2 linked regions of the Yarrowia lipolytica genome follow. The protein of the gene in region 1 interacts with the protein of each later gene in a pairwise test. Links are inferred from orthologs where the notes say so. Each region holds a gene or a part of one and is shown on either strand. Other genes may lie near its edges.

Region 1 (3,913 bases):
AGGCTTCAGGGTAGCATCGAGGTACACATCTCGCAGATTCTTCATGTCGGTAGCGTTGGTGGTAGCAAAGGGGTAAAAGGTGTAGTCCTGGGCGGTCATCGCGTTCATGAAGTTGGCAAGAGATCGGTTAAGCATCTTGAAGAAGGGATCTCGGACTTGGTACTTTTCCGATCCACACAACGTTGTATGCTCCAGAATATGGGGAACTCCGGTTCGATCGGGAGGATTAGTCTTGAAGCCGATGGAAAAGACGTTGTTGGAGTCATCTCGAGCAATGTGCAGATGCTGGGCTCCAGTGGAGTGCTCTAGCAGGGTAGCCTGCAGATCAAACTCGGGGATCTCTTTGGTTCTGAGAACATTGAAGCCATGGATATTGTCGCCGACAGAGAGAGTGGGTGCGGAGGTGGTGGCGAAACGTCGAACCACGGCCTGGACCGGTTTTTTGAGCGACTTTAGACGTAACATGGTGGTGGAAGAGAGTGTCGATGCAAGTCTCGATTTTAGATAAAAGAGTGAACAACTCTAAATGATTTATAATAGTTGGGGGAAGGTAGCGACGAGGCGGTGGTCACATTACAGGAAAACAAATATGGATTGATACCATGTACCATGAGTGATCACGTGCCATGAGTGATCACGTGGACAGTTTTCGTAGTCAGGATTTCCGTCTGTGGGTTTCTGGAGAGTTGTTAGAGCGTCAATAACCGACATCTTCCTCGATGCGGGGAATAGGGTAAGGGAGAAACCCGTGAGGTGGCAAGACGAAGATTAGTAATATTTATAATGAGTGGAGGACTGATCACGTGATAGGATTCTACGATCGTGTGGCTAACTTATGCTTGATGGGCTCGTGGCGGTCGAGAATGATTTCTTATCTGTCTTTTGAACACTCCTGGTGATGCATAATTAGGTTGCAAAGGTCTGGAATACTGATGGAAGAAATCGATTTCAGTGTCGCTGCTAAGACGAGGAGGGGACTTACAGAGAGAAGAATAACAGCATTAAAAATAAGGGTGCCTGTAGCTTTCGATCTATATAAATAATGTACTACAATCTCATTACGTTGCTTACCGTAAACTGCGATTATTTCCGTAGGTGCTGTGTTGAGGTTTTCAGTGGCGACTCGCCAGATTGTCAAAACAGGCTATTCGAGTCACAACAGAAGACGTAGGCTAGCTACTGTATTTAAAACAAGCATCCTAATGAAAGTACTTGTACTCACCTTGTAGGTTGCGGCTCCCAGCAACCAACAACCACAATTATTTACATGATCTGACAATTCAGTCAAATGTTGGAATCAGCATACTCCCGTGAAAATGTGGACCTTGCATTTCCAGGGCCTGGACTGTTTCGGTGGGTGTTTGGATCGCAGTCTCGCCACCAGACGTTTCTTTCCACCACCTTCGTAGACCTGATCGACTGTTTATAGCGAGAAACAGTGGGTTCTGTTTGTGGTGTGTAATTGTGGAGGTCAGGTTGGCGTCGGAGTTGGGACTATTAATAGGTTCAGGTTATGACAAGTATTTTTAGCGACTCGCACAGCATGTACACTATGAATAAGAGAGATGCACAGAGTCAGTGAGAGATTAGAGATAGTTGAACAGACACGTGACGAAAAATATCTCGTGACCTATTAGTTGCAATTGAATTATATTTGGTAACGTGACACGCTCACGACTTCCGCGTTCAACTAATTACCACTTCTGGACGCGTCTCCCAAATCATTTCAATTAAGCTCTTGGGTACGCGTCGTGAAGGCTGGGCCTTGTAACCTCCTTCTTTCCTCCACAACACCATGGACAGCTCTCCAATTCGACTCATGAGCGCAAGTGAGCAGAATGCAGGATGTGACAAGCCTGTAATGGCCGACAACAAGCCTCTGTGCACGATTACCACGCCCGAACCGTCACCCAAGCGTCGAAAGATCTCTGCCGAGGAGAAAGAAAAGATGCGACTTGAAAAGGAACAGATCAAGAAGCAGAAAGAGGAAGAGCGAGAGCAGCTTCGAAGACAGAAGGAAGAAGAGAAAGAGCTACTGAGAAAGCAGAAAGAGGAGGAGAAGGAACAACTGAGGAAACAGAAGGAGGAGGAGAAGAGGGGGCTAAAGAGGAGGAAGAAAGGGAAAGAGGAGGAGAAACGACGACGAGAAGAGGAACGAAAGAAGGCTGCCGAAGAGAAGGAGCTTGAGCGAGCCAAGATTGCAGAGGAGAAGGCTAAGTTGGCTGAAGAGAAGGAGGCCAAGAGACTTGAAAAAGAAGCTGAACTCAAGAAGAAGGAGCAAGAACAGACTCGAATCATGTCTTTCTTTAACAAGAAGACCAAAAAGAAGACCAAGAAGGAAGCTGTTAACAGTGACAAGTGTTTGGACTTTGATAAAGACTTCCTACCCTTCCACATCAAAGATACCGTGTGTATGGCAGACAAGACGGAGTGTGAAGTGATGGATCAGGATCCTGTTGACTGGCTCAACAGTCTCAACCTTTCTGATGACAGCAACACCGCCGAAGCAGAAGAACCACCTGTTCCCGTCAAAACCATCATTACTCACATCCAGACCGCTGCCACTCTGGGTCTCAATCCTGATAATTACAACGGTACTCCTTTAGACACGCTGGTCAATGCTCTTCCTAGACGATACTTGCAGTTCTATGGTGACGAGCGACCCGCATACCTGGGCACGTACTCCAAGAGCTGCTCGCGTGATCTGTTGCAGAACCCTCTCTTCCAGGTGCCTGGTTTGGACTACGAGTACGACAGTGAGGCCGACTGGGAAGATGAAGGAGAAGATATTGAAGATGATGAAATTAGTGGAGACGAGGAGATGGAGGACGACGAAATGGCCGACTTTGTGTGTTCTGATGATGCCAAGAGTCCCAGCACCATGACTTCAAAGGTCACGACAGCCCAGGAACCTGTTGTTGTCTGGGGCTGCTCAGATATGGTTGGTATGACTTTTGGAGGACTGATTGTCCAGGGGGCAATTGACCCATTCAAAGACTATTGGACTGTTGCAAAAGTTGAGCAGAAGACCGATACTAAGAGTGACGTGACAATGACTAGTGCGACATCAGCTTCTGGTACAGCTATTAAATCTACTACAACCAAAACCGAACTCAGCCCGTTTGCAGTCCTCTCCAAAACTCTGTCACCTTCCCCAGCGGTTGCTTCAGCCACGAAACAGTTTCTGGCTGCTGCCAAGCCTCAGAAGCTCATTGCTGGAGACGATCTGACTGCTCTTTTGAAGCGAGTAGATGGATCCGACGATAACAAGACGCTGTTGACCGAGCTGCTTTGTAAGCAGTATCCCCAGTACACACGCAAGATGGTCACGGCCACCATTCAGCACTATGCTGAGCGACAGGGTCCTAAGAGCGACAAGCGGTGGGTTCTGAAGGATATCTAGGCCGGGGAATGATGAGTTCTGCTGGAGTACACATGACGCAGTAGATAATGAATTAACGATGAACTGATGATTCAATAATGAAACAACTGTGTGAGAACGATGGCCGAGGCCTATACTCGTAAAGTAGTACTTTTGTGCTTGATTCCACCGCCGCACTTAAAGGGACGTCAGAAGTAAAATTGGTACAGTACACTGAAATACGGTCACGTGACTCGATCCCACCTCTCGCCTCTCGGGTAACGTATAGCCGATCCATCCTCATCCTCATCCTTTTCTATGTGTAGCTGCATTGCACCTCCATTTCAATGTCGTACTTATACCAGGTATTTGGGGTTGACATCCTTGTACAGTATTTAGGCTCAGTGCAAAATGGACCGTGAACCCAGTTTCGATCGCTCTTTCGACAGGCTCTGGTCTACAAACTCTTACTGTACATCGGGCAAATCAAAGAAGACAGAGATACCCGATTGGCAGATCGACACAAGTATGGTTTGGCCGGAATAAGCAAAG
Region 2 (3,715 bases), on another chromosome or scaffold:
TGGGCCACGAGCTCGCCGCTGTCACCACCTGTGTCGCCTGGTCCTTCGTCCTCACCTACATCATCTGTTTCGTGGTTGACCACATTCCTGGTCTCAAGCTGCGAGTCACTGCTGAGGAAGAGATGCTCGGAACTGATGTCAAGGATCTGTCAGAGAAGGTCGAAAACATGGAGGACTCTCTCTGGGGCAACTCCCCATCCATGAGCCGAGAGCCCACCGTCGCCAAGCGGGACGCTGAGCCCATGGTCTAAACCGCAAATCAGAATTAATATTGTGTACTGTTAACAAAACCGGATGAAATGTAGAGAGATGTAGTCGTCACTGTATACTGTACATACTGTAAACACAGTAACAATCCTAAGCCTCTTTAGCACCTTGTGCCATGCAGCCATCAGTACGCCTTTGGTGTGGGTATGACATGCCCAGGTATCTCTCCTGTGTCGTAGAAGTGCTGGTACCTGTTGTAGTTTCATGATTGACACGAAATGAGGTTGGAGGGAGATCACTTTCAAAGCCAGTGGGGACATTCTCGTGGTCGTCCCAATGCTTTCCATCAAGCCTTAATAGCCGGGACACTACAGAACCCTTCGTCCCTATCCAGTCATAATATATTTGTAAAATGCATCAATCTATCGGTTAAGACTGCAGTAACAGTCGTCGTTGCCCGTCGGGCTGCGTTTCGTCTTCGTGAACCTCCTCCACTCCGGGGGCCACTCGTTTTCGTCGCACCTGAGTTAGGATGTGTGTGGTGGCATCAAGATGTCGCAATGAGGGTGTGAGCACTTCATGTGAGACCAGGCCCAGTTCATATCTGTGGCCAGTAAGTTGGCGATACCGACGAATTCACTAGATAAGCGACTGTAGGAAGTATTCGGGCGGTCCAGGTGCAAGCATGGACGAGGTGTCTTACTCTCCTCACTTTTATGTGGTCCATATTTCAGCCTTGCTGCTGCGACTCTCTCAGATAGCCATGCCGTGCCTGATCCTCGTGTAAGAGGCTCACATTATGGTCATTCAGAAGCCAGAGCAACACCAGAGAAAAAAGAACCAAGTTCTCGTCACATCAAGCAATAGCAACGACGTCACGTCGGCAAGAAAAATGAAGTGTATCTCAAACGACCACAGCCGTTCAATGCAATCGCCACTGTTCACAGCATCACATTCTTCTCATCAGCCTGTTCATTATACTCACTCTAGCACCGCTCATGCCCCATGCAAAGCCGATTTCATGGGCTACGAGCTCTCCAAAGCCCATCATCATGCCGTTGATGAAGGGCAGGACCAGATTGATGCAACATCGGCCTAGAAAACGGCCAATAGCAGGCATTGAAAAGGTTATGCGCGGCCCAGGGGCGTACTGTTCGCCTTCCTCTGTCAGCTGCTCGTCCGACTCCTCCTCCACCAGCTCGGGTATATCTTGTGTAGAAAATGGCTCTTCGTTCGGGTCCATTTCGGTCATGTTGGGGATGTTGTGGTCTACAAGTAGTAAATTAAGTTGCAAGTGGTGAAGTGCGTCACTGGGGTTCGTGCGTGCGTACGACACTGATGGTTGACCGGAAGACGATAGAAAAATTGGATAATTTAGGGGAAAATTACAGAGCGGCTGGAGTATTCATTGTGGTTTTTGAATATTTTTGATAAATGTACCTGCAAGTATAAATACTCTGTAATGACAATAATATACTCTCTAATCATTATTGAAGAAAGCAGCACAGCACTGATACCAGAAAAGAACAGTCAAAAGAAAAATGAAATCAAATTAAAAAGAATTAATGGAACAATAATATCGTAATTACAATTATCCTAATTTTACCCCATTTATTTCGTATGTCGGACTGACCTCATTCACGACCCCACTGTACCTCTTATTAAGCTCCTGAGAGACGCGTCCATTTCACGCATATTTCATTTGACTAAAACTGATTCACAACTGGAAACATATCGCACAATACACACGACACAGCAATGGACACAGAAGCTAGGGAACTGCCACAGACTTGCGAGGACGACGTGACGCCCAAACTGTCGCCCGAACAGCTGCTCTCGTACGAGAACTATCGAATTTGGAAGAAAAACGCCCCCCAGCTATACTCGTTGTTCATGTCACAGATGCTTCCGAGCCCAGCATTGTCATTCCAGTGGTTCCCCGATCTCGACACGCCCAAGAATGCCTCTGTCACGGCCCACCGGTTCCTCACGTCGAGCTATACAGACACCCCGGAGGTTATTCGACTTGGAGAAGTTAAGATCCCCAAAAACGACGAGACGCTCAGCCTGCAGGACTACTCTGCGCTGACGGAGGAGATTGGCGGCTACCAGGGTCATCCACACGCAGGAATAAATGTGTCACAAAACATATCTGTGCTCGGAGAAGTCAACAGAGTCAGATACATGCCCCAGAACCCAAACATCATCGCTACGATAGGAGCAGATGGATCCGTGCTCATGTTCGACAAGTCCAAGCATCCAGCCAACCCATCCAACGACGAATGCAAGGCTGATGCGACTCTGTGTCATCACAATTCTGAGGGCTGGAGCCTGTCTTGGAACACAAAAGATCGAGGGAAGCTGCTAACATGCTCTTCAGACGGAACTGTGGCACTGTGGGATCTGGTTAACGACTACAAGAGCCGCTCTGATGGCAAGATGGTGACTATTGCTCCCAAACAAGTCTTCATACATCATCAGGGCTCTGTCAACGACGTCACTTGGCATCCTTCTGAAAAGACTCTATTTGCAAGTGTTGGAGACGATCAGAAGTTGTATGTGATCGATACAACTGACAACAGCACAGTTTATGAGACAGACACGAGAACCGCATCTTTATCTGTCGCCTTCAGCCCGTTTAACAATCGGGTGGTCGCGACGTCTGGAGAGGACGGCATCGTCAACTTGTGGGACATCAAATCCACTTCACAGACCCCTATTGGCCGACTGGTAGGTCACGAGGGGCCTGTGGGCTCGTTGGATTGGTCCCCGCATAATCCTCGACTGCTGGTGTCTGGATCTGAAGATAAACGGGCCATCATCTGGGACATTTCCAAGATAGGTCAGAAAGACGGCTCGGAAAAGCTGTTTGTGCACGCTGGACACACGGAGAAGGTGACCGAGGTGGGATGGAATCGCAGTCTGGAGGGTGTGATTGGAAGTGTTGCATTTAATTCCTTGTTGCATGTTTGGAAGGTGAAAGATTAGTAAGGTGTTGCTGTCGATGAGAGATGAGACGATGATGACATTAATTTATTCTGTATCATGAAACTACAAGGATTATGAAACGTAGCAGAAAAGAAATACATGATACAAGTACCTGTAGACCTACATTCAATATGGATCACTCAATTAAATAATTTATCATACAATCTATAATGCAATTACCACTCGACACGTTCTTCGTCATTGTGGCTCGAGTTGAGGTCTTCCTCCTTCATGTTTGACAGCTTCTTCTTGTGCAGGTTTGCTTTCATGGGCACTCGTCCAAACATGAAGCCGGGGTGGAAGATGGCCAGTAGGTATGTTGCTAGCACCATCATCAGACCGTCGAGCACCAGCATATACACCTCGTTGATGACCAGCCGTCCGTGCCATCCTCCGGCTAGTTCGATGATTCGGTAGATGGAACGGGTGTAGATGAGAATAATAGCAATCGTCTGGCCTACAATGAAGATAGGTAACTTCTTGCCCTTCTTGAGCTCCTCGATATCAGGTCTATGAGCCT

What was found. The genes of interacting proteins can lie anywhere in the genome.
Region 2: the proteins of YALI1_F28550g (region 1) and YALI1_B18260g interact in binary tests that used the Saccharomyces cerevisiae proteins (3 or more experiments, as listed by UniProt). The link is inferred for Yarrowia lipolytica from reciprocal best matches to the Saccharomyces cerevisiae genes RLF2 and MSI1.

Annotation. Positions count from the first base shown.
Region 1 is NC_090775.1:2,853,303-2,857,215, forward strand, and holds YALI1_F28550g (uncharacterized protein), read left to right. Parts: upstream 1-1,795; coding exon 1,796-3,403; downstream 3,404-3,913. Other genes in the region: YALI1_F28537g (uncharacterized protein), read right to left, coding at 1-465.
Region 2 is NC_090771.1:1,824,320-1,828,034, reverse strand, and holds YALI1_B18260g (uncharacterized protein), read left to right. Parts: upstream 1-1,965; coding exon 1,966-3,195; downstream 3,196-3,715. Other genes in the region: YALI1_B18292g (uncharacterized protein), read left to right, coding at 1-251; YALI1_B18265g (uncharacterized protein), read right to left, coding at 637-729, 1,193-1,459; YALI1_B18236g (uncharacterized protein), read right to left, coding at 3,372-3,715. UniProt on the Saccharomyces cerevisiae protein: Acts as a component of the histone chaperone complex chromatin assembly factor 1 (CAF-1), which assembles histone octamers onto DNA during replication and repair.